Linked DNA regions of Cricetulus griseus. The protein of the gene in region 1 interacts with the protein of each later gene in a pairwise test. Links are inferred from orthologs where the notes say so. Each region holds a gene or a part of one and is shown in the gene's direction. Other genes may lie near its edges. The genes, in order: Sat1, Cchcr1, Casp7, Dipk1b, Rbm17 and doublesex- and mab-3-related transcription factor 3.

Region 1 (4,238 bases):
AAAGGAAACAAGAGAAACACATGAACTAGAGCAAGTAAGGGTTACAACAGCAAAGGAAGGCAGGAGATGATCAGATATCGGCGTGCTGAAAGAAAACTTCCAGACCTCAAAATCTATAAGCAGTGACATAAATCCTTCAACAATGTAAGCTGACATACACAATATGCAAAACTGAGATATTTTTACAAAATCAAACCTTCATTAAAGGAAATTAGGAAGTACATCCCTCAGTCAGAAGGAAAGTCCACAGGAATGAACAGAGGTTTAAGAAGGAAATAAGGAGGGGGAAGTAAAAAGAAAATACTTTACAACTTTAGTCATTGGACACTGGTTCTCAATCTTCCTAATGCTGCGACATTTTAATGCAGTTCTTCATGTGTGGTCGTCCCCAGACATAAAATTATGTCATTGCTACTTCATATCTGTAATTTAGCTGTTATGAATTGTAATGTAAATATTTGTGTTCTTAGGTGACCCTTGTAAAAGGGTTGTGCGACCCCCAAGGATTGTGACCCACAGTTTGAAAACTGCCGAACTAGAAGGAAAGAAATTAAGGAATCCTAAGATTTGATCTTAGGGAATTAGAGAAAATACAAGAAGATCAGGACATGGTGGTGCATGCTTTAATCCTCACACTGGGGAGGCAGAAGCAGGCAGATCTCTGTGAGCTGTGAATTCTAGGACAGCCTGTTGTACATAGAGAGTTTCAGGACAGCCAAGGCAACACAGAGAGACCCTGTCTCAAAAACAAAACAAAAATGCAAATACACACACATTCCTTTAGTCATGAAAACGATGACATCACCACATAGCAATGAACTGCCTGTGGAAAATTACAACAAAAGGGGAAAAAATTACACCTCCCGATCACACTTTGAAAATGGCTAGAATAATCTTTCTGTCATCCTCAAAAGTCAGGCTTTCTGAGTTTGCTTTTCTCAGCAATGTCCGGGGGTCACAGGGGCAATCCGCATTTTCTATTTACAGAGGTTACTAGGGCACACTCGGGCACTCACTCATAGGCTTCCTGGAAGGATCCCTGAGGCGCCGCTAGGGGACGCAAGGCCTTGATAGCGCAGTGGCGCACCTCGCCCTGTCCCGCCCTCCCGGTTTGCGCCATCGGTTTCAGGGTCACGAGAGAGCCCGGAAGAGGGAGGTGCTCCCGCGGGCTCGCAGCCTTACTGGTTGTGATCGCTCCATCTCACGGTCCCGAGGAGGAGCTCCAGCGGACTTAAAAGGCAAGGTCTTGCCACAACTTAGCTGCGCAGCTTCCCAAAGCAACTCTCCCAGTTTTCTGTCTAACACTGAGGTTCGCCGGGTCATGGTGCCAGCCTGACTGAGAAGAGGACGCTCCCGGGAGACGAATGAGGAACCACCTCCTCCTGCTGTTCAAGTACAGGGGCCTGGTGCGCAAAGGGAAGAAAAGCAAAAGACGAAAATGGCTAAATTCAAGATCCGTCCAGCCACTGCCTCTGACTGCAGTGACATCCTGCGACTGATCAAGGTAGGGAAAAGGCCCGGCTCTCCTTAGGGCGGAGGGTGAGGGAGGTTCCGTTTCCTCGGGGAGTTGATATCTTCGGTTCTGAGATGTTGCCCAGTCAATAATTCCCTTTTCTCAGCCCGCCAACCCCAGCCCGGGTCAGGTCCAGAAGTTCCATGCCAGTCACCACCGGACCCCGCCTACCCCATTTCCCCTTCTGTGAGCTGGCAGGGCTGGACAGGACTTTCATTGTCCTTTCTTTTATATGTATCATTCCCAGGAACTGGCTAAATATGAATACATGGAAGATCAAGTAATGTTAACCGAGAAAGGTAACGAAGTCGTGGCGGGGGGGAGGTGAAGTGGGGAGAGTGGGGCCTCAGGGAGGCAACAAGCTGTTACCTGACACCTACAAAAGTCAACACTGTCTCCTCCTCCCCCATTTTACAGATCTCCTAGAGGATGGTTTTGGAGAACACCCCTTCTACCACTGCCTGATTGCAGAAGTGCCTAAAGAGCACTGGACCCCTGAAGGTAACCCCTTCTTCCTGTCCAGAAGCCAGAGAGAACGAGTGTTGTATCAAAACCGTAGAGTCTACTGTACAGAACCTGTAACTACACGGGCAGAAGTTACTGAGAAGCTGGTCAGAAATAACAGCCAGCCAGTGTGCAAATGACTGAGGAAAAAGAAAATGTATGTGCAGTACTTTATAATAGGGCGGGTTAAGAGAGCTGTTTAAGCAAGTATCAGAGTGCTGTGGAAACCCGGAAGAGTTAGGTATAATGTCATTTGTTGTAATTCAGTTTCATAAAAATGGTTTTTGTTTGACCCTAACCTAATCTTTTTTTTTTTTGTAATTGTGTTAAATCACATTTTTTTCTTTAATTTGTCCCAATCCTCAGGTTACAGTCTCTAGCTTCGCCATGTACATGGCCCTTCTGTGTACATGGATGGGCGGGGAGGTAACTAAAAGATCCTTTACACAATAAAGTAGATGATCATGATAAATGAGGTAAGGTCCTATTATCGCACACTTAAAACATGGTAGATCAGAAACTTATATTCGCTTCCTGTCTGTTTGCAAAGAAATAGAAAATGGCTAGAAAGTTTAATTTGCAACCATTGCCTCCGTTTGGAATTGAGTTGACACTCCTTTTGAGGGAGTCAATTTTGAATTGGTTTTATTTTTATTTTTATTTATGTATTTCTTTTTTGCTGACCCTTGTTGACTGGTCAGAAGAGGGCTAAAAGGGGAAGTTGCTTGGGTGGATGATTTCTTCAATTTTCTTCTGACGTCTGTTCCCGAGGCTAGAATGTAATAAGAACACCCAAGGGATAAGCTGGCTTTTAGAAGTAAGTGGGTGTTACGTAACACTGGATTCTTGTTACTGCTACTTCTCCTGCCTTAAAAACTTGGGAAAGTAAATTGAAAATTTATGCATGGGAAGACAAGTTCTGAAAGTAAACATAGTACTTTTGGCCTGGTGTTCTGACCTTAAGGAAGCAAGAGTTGGTAAACTACAAATATTTCCTCTTCTAAACTGCTGTGTAAACCCAACTTTTGCCAAGCTGACATACCAGTATGTCATCAGGATGTGAATAATGTGTGTGTTTAGTTTAAGTCTGTGGCAATTTTGCTCTGGCAAGTAATGAAAGTGTTCTCATTTCCTGAGTGTGAGTCCAGCAGACTGCAGACTAGCCAGTCCACAGGTGTAGCCTAGCTTCAGCTAGCTCTAATGTGTGCTTTTTGCAAATACATGTCTGAGACCAGAGAGATCGTCCATCATCGGTCTGCACTGTACTAGCATAAACATGAGGAGGCAGTCCAGTTCATGACTACTTGTTTCCATGATGCATGCACGTGTATTTTCTTACAATCTATGATAGGCTTCTGTTTCTGCCAATACAGCTTGAATGGTTTGCTTTTTTTCTCTGTATCTCATGGGATACTCTTATTACAGGACACAGCATTGTTGGTTTCGCCATGTACTATTTTACCTATGACCCATGGATTGGCAAGTTACTTTATCTTGAAGACTTCTTTGTGATGAGTGATTACAGAGGTACAATTGAATTTGGGATTGGAGGCAGTTTAAAGAGAAATCAGAGCCTTTGGCCTTAAAATGACTAAGCTAAATTGTATTGCTTTCTTTTAGGGTTTGGCATAGGATCAGAAATTTTGAAGAATCTAAGCCAGGTATGTTCACTAGCATTTCTTTGTATATCCCAGACTGGCCTAGTATTAATATGTAGCCCTGGCTGGCCTCAAGCTTGTCTCCACCTCCCTAGTGCTGGGATCATAGTTGTGGCCCATCACATACACCCAGGTGTCCTAGATTTAGGCTTCTGAATTTGTAAGAGTTATTGGGTTATTGTAATGAATGAATCAAAATTGGGTCTTGGCAAGCGGGTGAAATGTCACTGGGCTTATGTTTTCTCTCTTGTACTAGGTTGCCATGAAGTGTCGCTGCAGCAGTATGCACTTCTTGGTAGCAGAATGGAATGAACCATCTATCAACTTCTACAAACGAAGAGGTGCTTCTGACCTGTCCAGTGAAGAGGGATGGAGGCTCTTCAAGATTGACAAAGAGTACTTGCTAAAAATGGCAGCAGAGGAGTAAGGAGTGCCTTTGTAGACAATGACAACCTCCATTATACTTTAGAATAAATTCTCAACTTATCTTGCTCTCTATCTTGTTTGTAGTGAAATAATAGCATGAACACCAATTCCAAAGCTTTATTACCAGTGGCGTTGTT
Region 2 (4,225 bases), on another chromosome or scaffold:
AGCAACTGGATGGAAGAACTGTGGATGCCAGGCTTCTGAGGCTGCCTTGAGCTGGGAAGGAATGCCTAGGTCACTAGAACACCGCCTTAATGGGAACAAGGAGGTTCAGCAACCCTGGACACTTGAGTCAAGTGTGAGCATAGTGCTAGAATGTCCACTTTACTGATGACACCCCAGCGCCTCCCTCCTAGCCCTGTGTGAGCTAAAGCAGCCGGGCAGGTTAGTCCTGCACAGCTCTCATGGGCAGATCAAACCGGATCCTGCTTGTCTGCTCTACCAGAGATTGACAGGGACTCTGGGAGGCAGGTATGGAGTCCCAGAGGCTCCCCTACTCATGCCATCCTGGGGCTGCCTGCTCACCGCTTACCTTGACTGCTGTGGTCCTCCAGGCTGACCCGCCAGTCGTCCCCTTGGAGCTCAGCGTGCAGCAATGCATGGACCCCAGAGATGAGGCCCGGCTCCTGCTGGGGCCGCAGGGCCACATCACACAGGTCAGCCCTGCAGCCCAACCGATAGGTGCAGCCTGACCTGGACGGGGGGTGGAAGGTGTAGAGATCACCGCCCCTGCCGCCCCCTATGCGCAGCAGCTGGAAGCAGGGCAGCATGGGGGGGTGCTCCCCTCTGCACCGCTTCTCAGCAGTTCATCACCTCTCCTACTCCCAGGCCATGCACCGGGGGCTTCGGTTCAGTTGTCTGACGTCAGCAGCCCCACTGTGGGTAATGCCAACTTGAGAAACACAGATTTCCAAGAGCGCCAGAGGCCTGGACACGCATGCAACCGCTGTAGCTAGCGGCTGTCAAGATGAGACTTCAAAAGCAATTCCGGAGAAGCCCTTTCGCGATGCAAAACCAGGAAGACGTCCTGTGGGACCTCCGTGATGCCGGGTCCTCAGGCCGCAGAATATCCGGGGAGGCTGTAGCAATCTGTTCAAGGCAAAGCTACTTTAAGCGGCAGCTGGGGACACCCCAGCGGGGTGAGGAGGTCCCGCTACACGGACGTGCGTGCGACACGAACGTGTCCCCTCGAGTGTAAGCAGGAGCCGGGAGGGAAGCCTACAGGTCAAACTTCCTAATCCAGGTAGAGCACCCCTTCTGTCCTGCCCCGAGGGAAGGGAATCCGCTGTCACCCACAAAGGGCGGCGCAGACAGGTCCCTAACTCTGCAACAAGGTGGAGCTCACCCTCTCCTCTTGCGCTTGCGGGGTGCCCCGAAGAAGGACTCCACACCCTGTGCCCCTCGCTCCCGCTGCGGTTTGACAGCCAGGAAGCCGCCCTCCGGAGGGCGCGGCTCGGGCGGGCGAGCGGGCGAGCCGGCGGGCGCGCACCGCGCAGACTCCTCCTACGGAATTCCCGGGTCCAGCTTCGCGCCTGCGAGCCCGCGCCCCTCCCCAGGCTGTCTCTGATTGGCCATCTGACTCGCCCTCCTCCGCTGTACTGGACGATGCGCAGGGAGGGGCCGTCCATCTCCCGCCCTCCGCCGTTTCTGATTGGCCTGCAGGTTTCCCGGGTTCCCGGGATGGGGCGGGGCCGCCAGGGCGCGGAGAAGGCCTGGAGGAGTCAGTGTGCCTGCGTGCGCCGTTCTTCTTCCTTCCTCCTTCCGGCAGGCGGGGCGAGTTGGGGCTTTAGAGCATCCCGCCAACCCCACCCGCCGCGCGCATGCGTGCTCAGGGCGGGAAGCCTAGCGGGGAAGCCAGGGGCTAAGGGGCGTGGCAAGAAGGCGGACCTCGCGCTGGGTAAGGAGCGTTCGGCCGGAGTCGGTTGGTTGGGGGCGGAAAGGGGCCTGAGAGGGGGTGCTCAGGAGGGTGGAGGGGGTCCACAGGGCAGGAGGGGTGCAGGAGCCCGGTGAAAGAACAGATGAGGAGGTCGGGGCAGCCTTACAGCTCAGGGTCCTAGTGAGGGGGATGAGCCCGTGGGTGTGTGCAGGAGAGGAGAGGGCAGACCTGAGGACAGCGAGCGACCGGGACCATAACGTCAAGAAAAATGCAGAGTAGGACTAGGAAGAGAAGCGTGTAGGGATCTCGTTGAGTGGAAAACAAACAAACAAACAAAAAATTTGAGTTCGGACGGGAGTTGGACAAAGAAGATGCTGCAGGACTCTGAGCAGCGAAGGGCTTCGGGAATGGAAGCAGAGGGGATAGAGAGAAACTGAGGCCCGCTGCAGGGAGACTCCGATGAGATAACAGGAAGCTGGCTGCCTGGCAACGCGCTCCAGGCTGCTTGCATTCCCTGGGGATCCTAGGGAAGCCGCTTAACCCTACATGAGGCCCCATTCTTCTGGTGCCAGGCCTTGGGCTAACGCTTTTGTAGGAAATGACCCAGAAATCATGGCGCGGTGGTGCCTAGATGGGTTTCCCAACGTCCCTACCATACCATGGCGAGAACTGTGGAGACGGGGTTCACAACAGGCCCGCTCACCTCCAGACCAGAGCTACAGGGATCGTAGACACTTAAGGAGGAAGGTAAAGGCACCACTCACAATCCTGTAGTAGAAGCAAAATCCCCAAGAGCATCCCCTGGCCCCCATCTCGGTACATTTACCCCATGATTGTTGCCTGGTTCCTTTGTCAGGAGCGTGTGTTCGGGACAAGCAAGTCTGCCTTGTTAGGGAAGTAGGGAGAGAGAAGCTCAGAGCTGGGCAGATCTGTCAGTAACTGAAGGATTGTGGCTTTGTTATTATAGGACTTCCTCTTTGGAAGGTGGCCTGAAAACTGAACTGGAGTCTCCTTGTTTCTCCTACTGTCCAGGGGAACCTACACTCTTGCGGACAAGATCGAGAGGCTTCAGATAGAGTGGAGATGTTGTCTCCCTCAGGTCAGTAAGGCCAATCAAGGAGGCTGGGAAGTCTCTCTGTGTCTCTCTGCCTCTGTCTTTCTCCCTCTCTCCCTCCCTCTCCTCTCTTTCTCTCCCTCTCTCTCTCCTTCCCTTCCTCCCTCCCCCTCCCTCCCTCCCTCCCTCCCTCCCTCCCTCCGTCTTCCTCTCTCTCTCTGAGAAACTGACAGTCTTTACTCTTGTGACCCACCCCCTCAGGTTTTGCTGGACTGGTTCCTCCCTCCCACTTCCAAGCTCGGCCGAGAATGGCCCCGACCTGGGCTTCAGACATTCCCCAGTTCCAATCCACATTTGACCAAGATGTCCTAGAGAGGCGGCAGCTGGACTCTCAGAGGCCCACAGTGACCATGAGGGAACAGGATGTCTATGGAGATGGGCAGGGGCCAGGGCAGAGAGGCAGGTAGGGATCTGTCAATCACCTTTTTCTCAGACTTGCTAATGATCCTTTATACACACATTCCTTTATTTCAGCAGCCCTGGGTTCCATAACTTGTGTGGTTTTCTGTAGGCCATTGTTGGTACCTACACTGCATATACCATTATGCCCTGGAGAAAATCAAGAGAGAGGAGAGAGAGAGAGAGAGAGCGCGCGCTCTGGACTTAAATTCCCAATTAACAAGTGTTGCTAGAGTTTCTTTTCCTCCAGGTCCTGCCACCGCTTCAGCCCCAAATAAACACACAGACACTATATTAGTTATAAAACAGTTGGCCAATGGCTAGGGCTTCTTGGTGGCTAGCTCTCTCTTCATCATTAACCCACTTCTATAAATCTATGTATTTCCACGTGGTCTTGGCTTACCAGAAAATGCCCAGACCTGTTACTCCTTTGGCAGCTACATGGCATCTCCTCCCTGCATCTCTCCCAGGGTTCTCCCTGTCTCCCTGCCCCACCTATCTTCCTGCCTCTTTTGGCCAAACAGTGTTTTATTCATCAACCAATAAAAGAAACATATATACTGAAGGGCATCCCCCATCATCTCCTCTTTTCTGTCTAAATAAAAAGAAGGGTTTACTTTTACTTTAACATAGTAAAATTATATATAACAAAAACAGTTATCAAGTAAAAACATATAGTTAACAATAAAGAAGGAGTGTAAATGTCTGAGGGAGGAGATGGATTGCCCAGAAGCCATTGTGAAACGAAGTGACATGCTGGCTCTTAGTTAAAAGGGCCTTTCCCGGCATACACCACTGGAGCTGGCTATGCTCGGCATATGTGGTTTAAGATTTTATTTTTGAGCCGGGCATGGCCTGCCTTTAATCCCAGAGAGGCAGACAAGCAGGCAGATCTGAGTTCAAGGCCACTCCCTCCCTGGTCTACAGAGTGAATTCCCTGACAGCCAGGGCTACATAGAGAGAATCCTGTCTGGGGAAAAAAACAAAACAAAACAAAAAAG
Region 3 (2,320 bases), on another chromosome or scaffold:
CATCATGGGCCCTTAGTCACATGTCTGTCACTGGTTTCCGTGCTGGAAAACCCAAAGATTCTTGAGCATCTTCACACCCTGATGCTCGCTCTCAAAATAGCCGTCTCATTGGCGCCTTAGTGCAGACGAAAGGAAGATTATGTCCAAATGGACACCCAGGCCCCACAATGCTGAGAGTCCATTCTTCCCAGGGGGTGATGTAGCTTGCAAGGTTGGCTAATGGATCCTCTCTCTCTCTCTCTCTCTCTCTCTCTCTCTCTTCAAACCCCCCCCCCCCCCCCGTGAAGGCTATTACTCATGGAGGAACCCAGGAAAAGGCTCCTGGTTTGTGCAGGCCCTCTGTTCCATCCTGGACGAGCATGGCAAAGACCTGGAGATCATGCAGATCCTGACCAGAGTGAACGACAGGGTGGCCAGGCACTTCGAGTCCCAGTGTGATGATCCCTGCTTCAACGAGAAGAAGCAGATCCCATGTATGGTCTCCATGCTCACCAAAGAGCTCTACTTTGGCCGTTGACATCCCTCCCTTCCAGCTGAGAGCCTGCAGGCACTCATCCATGAGTCCAGTTGTTATTCTATTTTAATTGTTTTGATGCTCTCAAAATACCCGGGAATGTTAAAGAGATTTGTGTATTGATTGAGCAGGGAGGAAGTTGATTGGCAATGTCTGATATTCTGCATTCCTAGAGTTTTTTTTTAATAATTTTGTTCATTGGATGGCTTTGTTCTTTCCTTTTAAGGTTAATTTTCTGTTCAGAGTTCCTTTACCTGGTCATCACATGAGTGTGTGCTATGAAAATGACCTCTGGAGAAGACTTCTTGGTGGTGGCATTAATGGAAAGTCAGTCTTAGTTTGACTTGGCAAAGAGAATTCCAGTTCTTGACAAACAAGCATAGCCAAGACACTCATTGCCTCTCCTGCCTGGAAAAGGTGGCTGTTTTGTAGAGCGGTTGTTTTCATTGGCTTCGGACAGATTCTTAAGCAGACCTTCCCAGGGAAGTGAGGAAATAGTATTTTAGTATGCAGGATCTGGTCCAGAAAACAAGCCATTTTCGGTGTTCCGATGGAGAAGGGTCAATACAGGGAGCTCACTTAAGTGGGTAATTAAGAAAAAGAGCCAAGCAGTTGAAATCTCTTACCTCAGGTGTGACTGGGAGGCTGTAAGAGGAGGCTGGTTCCCTGGTCATCAGTAAGAACTGGTAGCGCTGCCCCCAGGAGCTAGGACCATGGAGAGTTGTGGTAAATGGAGCCACACCAAGGACAAAAGCTACTGTCTGAGATAGAAACCAAGCGGGAGCTGAGTCAGATACCAAGGCCTCCCCAGGCTTGTCCTCATACCCTCACCAACACCTCAACATTCAAGGTACCTGAAAGCAGCTGATGAGGGCCCTGGGGATGGAGATTCCCTGGGAATCAGATCAGAGCAAGAGCTGTTGAGCCAGGGAGTGGGGGGTGTGAACTTGGCCCATAATGTGAACTTAAATAACAGTTTTGTACGCCGCAGTTCTTCTGTTCATCGGTTTGTCAGACCATCCACACAGGTGCTGAAGAACAATCTGTTTCTACTTCATGTGCAAAATAGTGGTTTTTTATTTCAGACACATCTGGAATTCTTTCAAATATTCCAAGTTGTTTTTTTTTCCTAAATAATATTTTGTTACCTCTGATTCTATGAATGATACTTAGGGTAAAGATCTTGGCACTTCCTTTTCAAGGTGTCGTTTTCTTTGGAATTCGCTATACGTTCCTATTTTTTTCCACCTAATAAATGGTTAACAAATGTTCCTATTTATTGATTAAAATGTGGTTTAGTAACTCCTCACTGGCCCAGGCTGCTTTCTTCATAAAGTTATCTAGGGCAGTGAGAACTTAGAGAACATAAAAGAAAATAAGAGAAGATGACAACAAATTAGGAAACCAGGTGAGAATGGCCCTGCTGCCTGTGTCTCCATACAAAGCACAAACATTATTTATTCTGAAGCTAGAGCACTATAAGTATGTTAATCACTTAGAAGTCAAATGTTTCATAAAAAGGGTTAATTAACCTGTAACGCGGTTTGGGATGGCCTCCCTCCTGTTAATTTGGGAAGAAAAATCAGTGTTGTAAAAGTAGACTTCCCACTAAGAAAATCACTTAAGGCCAGTTTGTTGGACTTGCTGCTGGTCCCTGCCATCAAAACTCTACCAGATGGTCACAGTTTAAGTAGAGACCATGACTCTAACATCTGCCCTTTTACTGCCAGAATCCATGGGCTTTGTAAGCAAAGTGGGATAATGTAGAAACAAAGATGCTAAGCACAGTGGACTTGGGGTAAAGGC
Region 4 (4,016 bases), on another chromosome or scaffold:
TTCTTTCTCCTTCCTCCCCTTCTTTCCTTCCTTGATACAGGGTCTCCCTTTGTATCTGGCTAGTCTGGAACTTGAAACATAGTCTTGAATTTACTTTGATCCTTGTTTCTTCTTCTTGTGTTCTGGGATACAGACCTGGTGTTATTTTTTCTTATTTTGTGACCTGCTCTTGGCTCCAGCTTTCTTCAGCCTTTCTAGGCTATAAATCCAACCCCTTCAGCAGGGCTCATGGGACACTTGCTCCACTTTATGAAAAGAAAATTGGCCTGGTCCAGTAATTGCGAAGTAATTACAATCCTTAAACTAAAGCTGTCTTTTAACACCATTTTGCATAGGATGTATATGGGAAGAACTGGAGCACATGGGAAGGCCTTCAGCCTCCGTATTCCCTTGAATGCAAACGACAATGCCATAGAAGCCCCACCAAAGGTGTGGATGAGGATTCAGGGCAGCTGGTGCGCATGGGGGATGGTGCAGCGGGCATTCTGGATATCGTCTGTTAAGTTCAACAAACCTTTACCCCGGGATCAGCTGCTGCCTCCCTAACACCCTAAATAGGAATCACATGACAGGGCGCGTCTGTCGGTGCGTAGAAATCAAAGACTGGCTCTCAGGAGCAGTTGCTGACCGCTGGGGCTGTGGGTCCTTCCCCACGCCTCGGTGCAGCCATGGCTGCAGACGCTCGGTGCCATACAGCGGCCGTGGCCTCACTACTGATCTCACGTGCAAACACGGGAGGGCTGGGGACAGATCCCTCGTCTTTTACCCTTGAAAAGGTGTAAGAAAAGCGCAAGCGCAGGCCGGGGCCCCTCAGGTCTTCGGCGCCAGCCCTCCCCCTGCGCTCCAATCTCTGTCCGGGTCGCCTTAGCTGGTCGCGGAGCCTGCAGGGGCGAGGTCCCCCCTGCAGGAGGGCGAGACTGGACCAGGGGCCTTGCGCCGGTCCCCCGCGCGCGTGCACGCCCTTCCCAATTGCCTCCGCGCGCGCGCGTGCACGCCCCCTCCCATCCGTTTCCCCGCGCATGCACGCCCTTCCTCTCTGCTGTCTCCCCGCGTGCGCGTCGCGGTCGGCCGTCAGAAAGGCGCGCGCCTCGCTTTTAACGCGGGCCGAAGGCGCGCGGCCCGTATGGCGTGCGAGCGGCGGCCGCTGCGGGCCTGGCCGGGCCTGGGCTGAGGCCGAGCCAGCCGCGGGGTTCCACAGCCCCGGACGGCGCCCACCATGCGGCGGCTGCGGCGCCTGGTGCACCTGGTGCTCCTCTGTCCCTTCTCCAAGGGCCTGCAGGTAAGCGGCGGCAGGCCAGGTGCAGCCACACGGGGAGGGGCTGGGTGTGGGATAGCGTGGGTCGGTGGGCGTGTTGTGCCCGAAGCCCCTCCTTCGTTACTTCGATATTAGGCTGGTTTTTCTGGGGTAGCAAACTTGGGACATCCTCTGGCTATCTGGAACCAGGAACTGTGATGACCTTGGGCCAGTGAGGGCCAGCTTCTATCTGCAGAAGAGACCCCCCCGCCCCCCCTCCCTGCTTATGCTTTGGGGTGATGGGGTCAGGCCTCTGGACTCCAGCCTCTGCTTGCCAGGGTCCTCAGAACCTGCAAGAAGGAACCAGCACTTGTCAGCCCTGCCCAGGTCTCCCTGGCCTCTCTGCAGGGCCGACCTGAGGATGCTGCACCTTTGGCCCGGGGCCTGCCCTGCGTTAGATGGTTTTAGATAAAGGATGAAGACTGAAGCCTACTGGATGTAGAGATCTTCCAGGCTCCGATGCCCTTGTCTGCTCTCCTTTCCCAGGGGCCTTAGCTTGCACTATGGTCCATGCTCAGCCCCAGGTTGGGTGTGAGTTGAGGTTTTTGGGGGAACTTACTTGTGCCAGGAGATGGGGGTGTATCCATTCCCCTAGTTCTGAAGGATAGGCCCTGACTCAGCAGTGACAGGGGTTTGGCCTGGCTCATGGAGAGTACTGGCTGAGCCTCACCGGCCCTGAGCCTGTTTCAGGAAACTGAGGAAACACCAGGGCGCCTGGCACATGGCGTGGGCTTCCTAGGCAGGGAGGCCACTGAGCAGTTACCATCCCTGTAATGACCCCCTCCACCTCCCAAGTGACTTCTCTGGTGCTGGACTATTCATCCCTGCAAAATATGGGCCCAAGGCTTGTCAGCCTGTTCATCACTGAGTAGCAGAAGACCATGTAAGCTTTGAGTAGCCACCATGGTGACACCTGCCCTGGGGTGCAGATATGCAATGATTCAAGGGCCCAGGGGAAGAGATGTGTCTAACAAAGGGCCAGGTAGACCATCAGAACTAACCTGGGTCATAGTAGCCAAAGTGCTTTGGTGGAGCCACCTGTGCCAAGGCCCGGTGTTCTGAGAGGGGCCTGCCTGGAGTGTGGACCCTGTCTTGGCAGACTTCTAGCAGGCTTCTGGTTCTATATTACTTGGTCCAGCCTGGGTCAGCTGCTAGCTCAGGTCCTAGCCCTTTGCTCTTGTGTAGCTTGAAGTCCTTTATCTTGCCTCACAGCAACAGTGTCCCCTGCTGTTTCTCAGTCTTCATGTTTCATTTTGAACAAATCTGAAAGAAACAGCTGATTGCCAGGACCAAATGGGCCCCAGGAGGAGAGGTCCATAGAGCCAGAAGAGGGACCATCTCCTGGAAGAACGTTAAGAAGGGCTGGGCATTGTTCTTGTGAAGGAGGTTCCTTTCTGTTCTGACCTGAGGGAGCTAGGGCAAGAGTATAGATTTGAGTTCAGCATGACTCTCAGATCCAAAAGTGGAATGCTGGCGGGTTCCATTCTCAGACTCTCTGGCAGCGGTAAACAGGAGGCCACAGAAAGCACTTGACATTAGTAGAAGCCCTCCTCTGGGGATGCTGCTCCACAAGTCTGGCCCTCTCACTCTCCTTTGCCATTAAGCTTCAGATTGGGACATTTAACCATATGTGGCACAGGCTGTCTGCAAGAGACTGCCATTTCTCAAGTTGGGCACTGGGGAGGATGGTGGCATCTAGCTGTCTCTGGCTGTCAACTTTGGACACTGTTTGGAGTACTTAGTGGGAGCCAGTGTCCTGAGCACCTAGACCAGACCTCTTCTCACCCTCTAGTGCTCTCACCTGTCAGCTGGGAAAATGAGGACAGAGGAGTGAGGACCACAGAAGTGAAGGTCTTAGGCCCACCCTTGTTTTGGGTTGTAGACTCTCTGCCTGTTTTTGTTTTTGTTTTCTGGTTCCATCTTAAAACATTTTTTAAGACTTAGTTTATGTGAATGAATATTTTGCCTGCATGTATATTGTGATTCATGTGTGCCAGAGGAGGTCAGAAGGAGGCAATGGACCCTGTGGAACTGGAGTTGCAGATGGTTGTGAGTGGGTGCTGGGAACCGAGCTGGTTTCTTCTGAAGCAGAAATGTGTCCACTACACACACAGCTTTTTTTGTTTGTTTGTATGTTTGTTTTGTTGTTTTTGTTTTTCAAGGCAGGGTTTCTCTGTGTAGTTTTGGAGGCTGTCCTGGAACTAGCTCTTGTAGACCAGGCTGGTGTCGAACTCACAGAGATCCACCCACCTCTGCCTCCCCAGCACTGGGATTAAAGGTGTGCGCCACAACCACCTGGCCACACACAGCTTTTAAAAAGAAATTGTGGCAAAATACACAGCATGATGGGTGGTTTAATCCCAGCACTTAGGAAGCAGAGGAGGGGGATCTCTGTGAGTTCTAGGCCATCCTGGTCTACAGAGTGAGTTCCACGACAGCCAGAGCTGTTACACAGAGAAACCCTGTCTCAACAAACAAATAACCACTCACCAAACCAAACCAAACCAAACCAACAACCCTCCCCTCCAAAACACAAAAACCAAAAAGCCCACAGCATGAACTACACTATCCTGCCCACCTCTGCCCACAGCTGGTGTATGTGCATTGAGACCAGCTGTGGAGCCACTGGCATGGCCCGTCCCCAGAGAGCTCACCTTCTCACCCGCACTCTGTGTTCCCAGCCTACCCTGTCCTGACACTCACCTTCTTCTGTTTGCCTCTA
Region 5 (3,500 bases), on another chromosome or scaffold:
TAAAGTGTAGACTTTGCATGAATTAGAAAAGTAACTTAGAAAACCCACTGGTAGCCAGGTGTGGTGGTACATGACTGTAATCCACCTACATAGTTTAAGACTAGCCAGGGCTACATGAGACTATCTGAAAACCAAAACACAATAGAAACCCATGTTGAAATTGTTAGCAGGGTTGTGACTGCCAGAATCACAACTACTTACAGTGTTTCAGTGTTATTCCTTTATTTTGGGGATTGGATTTTGGTTTTTCTAGATGGGGCTTGTCTGTGTAGCCCTCGCTGTCTTGGAACTCACTACGTATACCAGGCTGTCTTTGAGCTCAATGAGATCTGCCTGCCTGTGCCTCCTGAGTGCTGGCATTAGAGATGTGCCACCATACCTAGCGTCTTAAAATTTTTAGTTTTGTTAATTAATATGAATTCTATACTAATATGGTATTTCTCGTTTATTGGATGAGTGACTTTTATGAGTGATTTTGTAGCCTAGAAAATTGAAATCATTAAACTGTATATGCATATGCCTTAAAATAAAAAGTTAGATATAATTTTTTTCCTATGGATTATACTCCTGTATTGGTTAAACTTGTTCATTTTTTCTTTTGAATTCTTTTCCATCCCCAGCATATATACATAAATTGAAAATTTATTCTTAAAGAACATTTTTCTTTTGCCAAGAGAAAGTCATGATGACGTTTAAGCTTCATGTTCTGTACTAATTTGTCTGTGATAAACATTCATTACTTTGTTATTACAGGAGGCGTAAAGACAGGCATGAAGCCAGCGGGTTTTCTAGGCGACCAGACCCAGATTCTGATGAAGATGAAGATTATGAGCGAGAGCGGAGAAAAAGAAGTAAGGCATCAACAGAGATAAGCACACTTTAGACTCAGCACTATCCCAGGCATTGCTTTTTTTCATTTGAGACATGGTTTATTTCACTTTAGTTTGGGTAATTGCGTGGGGGTGGGGAGATCAGGGGGAGGTGCTCTATATTCCCACCAGTCCACATTCCATAGCAGCTTTGGTTTATACTGTTTTCATATATACCTTACTCTGAACTTCATAAACACTTTGAGACATTTGTTATATATTTTGAAAATAGCATTAGTTTTATTTCTCCACTTTAATTGAGGCATGGTCATCTCTTGTTTCTCAAGCCCAGTGCATTTCAGGTCAGCACTGGGTAGGGAGGGAAGACAACATATTCAGAGTACATTTGTCACTAGTTCAACTGGAGTTGAGAGTCCATCATGCTTCTTTGCATGTTCACCTGCCTCCTGAGGACAGGGAGATCAAAACCTGTACTGGGGACTTTGACCCAGTCTTCCTATTAACAGTTTGAGCAGAGGGTTAGTTGTGTCTAAAATCAATTCCTAGGAATTACAAGCAGTAGCTGATGGTACTTGAAAGAATACAATAATCTTTTGGCTTCATGGTGTGCTTGCCAGGACTTTAGTTGGCTGGTTTGGTTGACAGAATCCTTTGCTTGTTTCCTACCTAACAGGTACTACTTTAAGTGTCTCAGACCTTTACAGCTCGCAGCAGGTTCTGTTAGCTTCCAATGTGAGTCTTGGGGCTAAGTGCATTCTGGACATTATAGACCTGCTTTTGGTCTTGTCCTTGGTTTTATTTGCCAAAGCCCTCACTGTAATTTGTTGTCTTGAACATACAACCTAAGAGTTATGTGTCGTGGTAGTTGGTAGTTCTGTATATGTGGTTCTGTCAGATGGCAGGAATGGTCTTCCCAGCTATATGATGAAGCCTGTTATAGGGTAAAAATTTAAATTTTAAAAATATCTGCTAAGTGGAAAAGAATAAGTTACAATTTAAATATCTTAGTACTTAGATGTGCGAATTAAATGTTTTTGTATGGGTTTTTTTGTCATCGTTGGTTTTGTAGTTTGGTGGTGGAGTTGGTAATGGTGGTGTTTGAGACAGTCTTAATATGCACATAGCCCTGAAACTGTAGCCCAATCATACATTAAGCTCATTGCCATCCCCCTGGCCTCAGCTCCCTGAATGTTTAGATTACAGGCATGCACCACCATGGTTCCATTACTTTTCTTACTTAGAATAATGTTTATTGTTTATTGAATGCATCATGTCTGGTAGTGTTGCACCCTTGATATGCAATATCAATCATTATTTGGTTTTTATTAACATGTTTTCTGTCTTGAATACTTGTAAGCCTCATCTTCCCAGTCCATAAGGTAGCTAATATCTTTTTGTGACAGGTACTTTCTGTATATTAGAGACTTTCCCCCTTGAATAATAGCAGGGACTATGCAACTTCCAATAAAAAGCTTTGGGTATTGTCTACATTTTCTAATATATGTTTATTCTTTGAGAATTTCATACATTAATACAATGTATTTTGGTTATATCCACCCCTTACTCCTCCCAGTTTAACCCCTGCTTCCCTGCCTTCCTCCAACTTTGGTATGCTCTTCTTTAAAAACAAACAAACAAACAAACAAAATTGATCAAGTCCAATATCATATGCTGCCCACACACTTTTGTGTGTGCGGTCATCTAGTGACTTGTGGGCAACCTACCAGGAGTCATACTCTTAAGACAATCCCCAGAAACTGTCAGTTGTTAGTAGCTACTCAGTTAGGGCTTCGAGCTCCTGAGCCCCTTCTTTTTTACATTTTGATACCAGCTTTAGACCTGTAATTGTTTGTATGTTGCCATGAGGAAGGAGGTGGTTCTCTTTCTTGGAGAGCAGGGTGGTGATACAATAGATGGGCAAGTGCTGGATGGTAATTCTTGTAAGTGTATTGTCCTTTAATCCCAGTCCTTGTGTTTTCACAGGTATGGGAGGAGCTGCCATTGCCCCACCTACTTCTCTTGTAGAGAAAGACAAGGAGTGTATGTATACTTTTTTCTTCTTTTATTATCTTATTCTCATACAGGTATTTATGGACAGTGGATATCCTATATTTGAATCTCTAGTTTCCTGAGTTTAAAGCAAAACAACTTTGTTGAAGTCACAGTGGCCCTTACTGCCTGCTGCACTGGGATGCTTTGCTTTGTTTTGTTTTGCAACAGGGTCTCAACTGTGTGGTACTGGCTAGCCTGGAACTGTGTTGACCTGCCTCTGCCTTCTGAATGCCCTGTTGTGCACTTGGAATTTTTTAATACCAGGATCTGAGTGCAGATTTTTATACAGGAAGATAGATTGGTTTTTATTGTTTTCATCAAGATTTCATGTTTGTGTGAGGTTCATTTGAAGTTAATGAAAGCAATAGTTGCTCATGCCCATTACCCAGCATGGAGGACAAAGACAGGAAATACACAAATTCAAGGCCAGCCCATGCTGGATAGTGCGTTTCCAGGCTAGCTTGTGCTATAGAGTGAGACCTGTCTCAAAAGTCACAAATAGGTAACAGATTTTGTAACTCAGAGGTTTAGGGCCTGTTGTATTTTGTGACCTTTCACAAGGAGGCAGTGACTTTTCCCATTAATTTTTGTTACTGAGCAGTATTTGTCTACACAGTA
Region 6 (3,282 bases), on another chromosome or scaffold:
AGGAGGGGTGCCTTCTAGAAGCTTCTTTGATGAAATTTCACCTCTGGCTATCTGCACACAATCAGGTTTGCCCACAGAGAGGCCTACAATGAGACTATTCAGGCCGGAAGAGAAAACACAGAGCCACAGTTTACAACCTGACTAGTGCCTACTGGGAGTGGTTTCTTCTCTTTTCTTTTTCAGATCAGTTACTCTGGATTAAGCACCCACAGCTAGCCTATTATTTCTTTAAAGGCTAAAAATCTATTTGTATGTAGTTTGCTAATAAAAAAAACTATGTTCTTTAATTTAGAGTTTCTGTTAGAATTTACTATGAAACCCAAAGTACTGTCACCCACTCCCTTTTGCCTATTTAGCACTGCAAAGCTTGCTCTCCTGGGTGCCGTCTTCAGGTTGTTAAAATGTCAAATTGGCAACTGATCTGTTTCATAAAAGGTTGTGAGATAGATGCAGCCAGAACAGAAGGCTTTGTGTGCCAGGATAATGTTTGCTGTTGTAAATCTGTAGGCTGCGCTTAACAACCCCTCTTGCTAGAATTAGCTCTGTTAAGGAAGTTCTTTGTCATCCTTCCCCCTTCAAATGGAATTTGGAATGTTGCATATAGGTCCTTTCCCGGGACTTTACTGGCACACTGGCTCACACATGGGCATCCAGGTACCCCTTGCCACACAAGGTGGGTAGACAGGGCTCCCTCTTCTGCTCCGAAACCTTCCAGCCATTTCTTTCTCCTCTCCATCTGTCCTGCCGTCCAGAATTAGAACTGGCTTTGTTTGGCCTTGAGTGCAAGGCCCAGGCAGCTGAGTTTGCCTGGCTCTTCAGTAGCTTTCTTTCTTTCTTTCTTCCTTCCTTTCTTTCTTTTTTTTTTTTCAAGTGATTTCAAGGGTTGTATTTTTCTTTGGCTTAGAAACTCTATCAACTTATCTACTCACTCATATGTGTATTTTAGACATAGAGTAAAGGATTACCAGCCTACAATCCACACTGCCAGAGATGCTAGTAAACAAGGAGGACCCTAAGAGAGACACACATGGTCCCCTGGAGAAGGGGAAAGGGACAAGATCGCCTGAGCAAATTGAGAGCTTGGGAAGAGGGGGGAGGGAGCTACGAGAATGAAAGGGAAGAAGAGGAAGGATGCAGAGGTCATGAGGGAGCAGAAAGGTTGAGTCAGGGGAAGAATAGAAGAAAGGGTAAGTGATAGGTAGGGGGCGTGTTAGGGGAGGATGAGAGGGAGAAGGGAACTGGGATTGTCATGTAAAACAATCTTGTTTCTAATTCAAATATAAAATGGTGAAAAACTCTATCAACTAGTATCAACATGGTAACCCGGTTAAAAGAAGAACTGTCAGAATTACAAGCCCTATTTATATTATATTATATATAAGTATATAATATAACATAAAACCAGCCCCGTGGGAGGCAGATGTGATTGTTAAAGTGCCCTGTGGGGTAGGTGGTGGTGTATTCCAGCTGATGATGGCTAGAGCTCCTCCTGTGGCCTTCTTTCATGGTTCTGAGGCCTTGTTCAGATCCTCACAGCCCCACTAAATGGGTCGCTAATGCTGTGTACTCCAAGCCTTCTGTGGTTGCTGGCATATGTGGCCATTCTGTGTTCAAGGCGAGCCTCCTCTCCTGCAGCATTCCAAGAAAACCCTGATTGCGCCATCTTTGACCGACCCCACTTGCCCACCCCATTTGATGGTTTTTGATTTCTTCTTTAAAGACCCAGCGAGCCAAACTTCCTCTTCCCAGAAGCCTAGTGCAGTTCGAAGCTGAGCACAGCAGGAAGGGATTAACCCAGCTGTTGTCTTGCCTTCCAGATCTGACTGAAGAGCGACTTGGGGACAGCAGTTCAGCAGACAACGCTGCTGCGGAGGCCTTCAGTGACAAAGACACCGACCAGAGGAGCTCCCCAGATGTGGTCAAAGGCAAGAACTGCTTCACTCCAGAGAGCCCCGAGATCGTGTCCGTGGATGAAGGGGGATACGCTGTGCAGAAAAACGGGGGTAACCCAGAAAGCTGCCCTGACAGCCCCAAGTACCACGCTGAGCAGAGCCACCTCCTGATCGAGGGTCCATCGGGGACCGTCTCTCTGCCCTTCAGTTTGAAAGCCAACCGGCCACCCCTGGAAGTGTTGAAGAAAATCTTCCCCAACCAGAAGCCCACTGTGCTGGAGCTCATTCTGAAAGGCTGCGGGGGCGACCTGGTCAGTGCGGTGGAGGTCCTGCTGTCCAGTCGGTCCTCGGCTGCTGGGGCGGAGCGGACGGCCGAAGAGAGCCTCGTGCTGCCCTCCAGCGGCCACATCTTTGAACACACGCTGGGCTCCTACCCCATCTCTTCCTCCAAGTGGTCGGTGGGCTCCGCCTTCCGAGTCCCTGACACCTTGCGCTTTTCGGCGGACTCCAGCAACGTGGTCCCCAACCCCTTGGCCGTGCCCTTGCAGCATCCTTTCCCCCAGCCACCCCGGTACCCATTGATGCTGAGGAATACTTTGGCCAGGAACCAGTCAAGCCCCTTTTTGCCCAACGATGTCACCCTGTGGAACACCATGACGCTGCAGCAGCAGTACCAGCTGAGGTCCCAGTATGTCAGCCCCTTCCCTAGTAACTCCACCAGTGTCTTCCGGAGCTCGCCTGTGCTCTCCTCCCGCACCACAGAGGACCCTCGGATCTCCATCCCCGATGATGGGTGTCCAATCGTGACAAAGCAGCCCATCTACACAGAGGATGACTATGACGAGAGATCCGACTCCTCGGACTCTAGAATACTCAACACATCATCCTAAAGTGTTACCTATGGGTGGTGACCAAGTGGCATTTTGTGTGTGCTGGACCCCCCCTCCACCCAGGAGAGTCCACTAATACTGTATTCTCTTTCCTCCTGTTTGACAAAGTGACTGTGCTTGATAGTCTATACATTAGCAATAAAAACATAACTTATTTAATTCCCTGCACTGGAGAATGCCAAATAGGTCTGCTCTGTGGATTTCGTGCTGAGTGTTATAGATGAGTCTAAAGCTAAGGACTGCCTAAGAAGGCTGGGCCTGGGGAGATTTAGTTGGAGGGTCAACTTTACTCCTAAATTCAACCTGGAATGTTAAGTGAAATAGTATACTTGAATGCAATTTTGTGAAAGGATTCCTCAGGATGCCGGAAACCTTAGGGAGTGGTCCGGTTGCAGTTGCTGACCAACTATGAACAGGGACATACTGCTCCAATTCAAAGAGAGACTGCACTTGGGGACAGAGCGGACTGTGCAGCCGCTTATTTAAGCCTGGACAATTTT

Evidence for each region.
Region 2: the proteins of Sat1 (region 1) and Cchcr1 interact in binary tests that used the Homo sapiens proteins (3 or more experiments, as listed by UniProt). The link is inferred for Cricetulus griseus from reciprocal best matches to the Homo sapiens genes SAT1 and CCHCR1.
Region 3: the proteins of Sat1 (region 1) and Casp7 interact in binary tests that used the Homo sapiens proteins (3 or more experiments, as listed by UniProt). The two-hybrid records come from large-scale screens. The link is inferred for Cricetulus griseus from reciprocal best matches to the Homo sapiens genes SAT1 and CASP7.
Region 4: the proteins of Sat1 (region 1) and Dipk1b interact in binary tests that used the Homo sapiens proteins (3 or more experiments, as listed by UniProt). The two-hybrid records come from large-scale screens. The link is inferred for Cricetulus griseus from reciprocal best matches to the Homo sapiens genes SAT1 and DIPK1B.
Region 5: the proteins of Sat1 (region 1) and Rbm17 interact in binary tests that used the Homo sapiens proteins (3 or more experiments, as listed by UniProt). The two-hybrid records come from large-scale screens. The link is inferred for Cricetulus griseus from reciprocal best matches to the Homo sapiens genes SAT1 and RBM17.
Region 6: the proteins of Sat1 (region 1) and doublesex- and mab-3-related transcription factor 3 interact in binary tests that used the Homo sapiens proteins (3 or more experiments, as listed by UniProt). The two-hybrid records come from large-scale screens. The link is inferred for Cricetulus griseus from reciprocal best matches to the Homo sapiens genes SAT1 and DMRT3.

Annotation. Positions count from the first base shown.
Region 1 is NC_048604.1:90,683,124-90,687,361, reverse strand, and holds Sat1 (diamine acetyltransferase 1), read left to right. Parts: upstream 1-1,438; coding exon 1,439-1,504; intron 1,505-1,760; coding exon 1,761-1,812; intron 1,813-1,930; coding exon 1,931-2,014; intron 2,015-3,442; coding exon 3,443-3,544; intron 3,545-3,637; coding exon 3,638-3,678; intron 3,679-3,931; coding exon 3,932-4,102; downstream 4,103-4,238. UniProt on the Homo sapiens protein: Enzyme which catalyzes the acetylation of polyamines. Substrate specificity: norspermidine = spermidine >> spermine > N(1)-acetylspermine. This highly regulated enzyme allows a fine attenuation of the intracellular concentration of polyamines.
Region 2 is NW_023276806.1:229,456,600-229,460,824, forward strand, and holds the start of Cchcr1 (coiled-coil alpha-helical rod protein 1), read left to right. Parts: upstream 1-1,425; 5' UTR 1,426-1,440; coding exon 1,441-1,732; intron 1,733-1,738; exon of another isoform or gene 1,739-1,756; intron 1,757-2,283; exon of another isoform or gene 2,284-2,306; coding exon 2,307-2,458; intron 2,459-2,678; exon of another isoform or gene 2,679-2,743; coding exon 2,744-2,810; intron 2,811-3,026; coding exon 3,027-3,228; intron 3,229-4,225. Other genes in the region: Tcf19 (transcription factor 19), read right to left, coding at 368-605. UniProt on the Homo sapiens protein: May be a regulator of keratinocyte proliferation or differentiation.
Region 3 is NC_048596.1:5,002,387-5,004,706, reverse strand, and holds the end of Casp7 (caspase-7), read left to right. Parts: intron 1-287; coding exon 288-517; 3' UTR 518-1,820; downstream 1,821-2,320. UniProt on the Homo sapiens protein: Thiol protease involved in different programmed cell death processes, such as apoptosis, pyroptosis or granzyme-mediated programmed cell death, by proteolytically cleaving target proteins.
Region 4 is NC_048599.1:138,019,608-138,023,623, forward strand, and holds the start of Dipk1b (divergent protein kinase domain 1B), read left to right. Parts: upstream 1-1,216; coding exon 1,217-1,279; intron 1,280-4,016.
Region 5 is NC_048596.1:228,365,288-228,368,787, reverse strand, and holds part of Rbm17 (splicing factor 45), read left to right. Parts: intron 1-753; coding exon 754-851; intron 852-2,813; coding exon 2,814-2,870; intron 2,871-3,500. UniProt on the Homo sapiens protein: Splice factor that binds to the single-stranded 3'AG at the exon/intron border and promotes its utilization in the second catalytic step. Involved in the regulation of alternative splicing and the utilization of cryptic splice sites.
Region 6 is NC_048596.1:35,680,195-35,683,476, reverse strand, and holds the end of doublesex- and mab-3-related transcription factor 3, read left to right. Parts: intron 1-1,817; coding exon 1,818-2,782; downstream 2,783-3,282. UniProt on the Homo sapiens protein: Probable transcription factor that plays a role in configuring the spinal circuits controlling stride in vertebrates.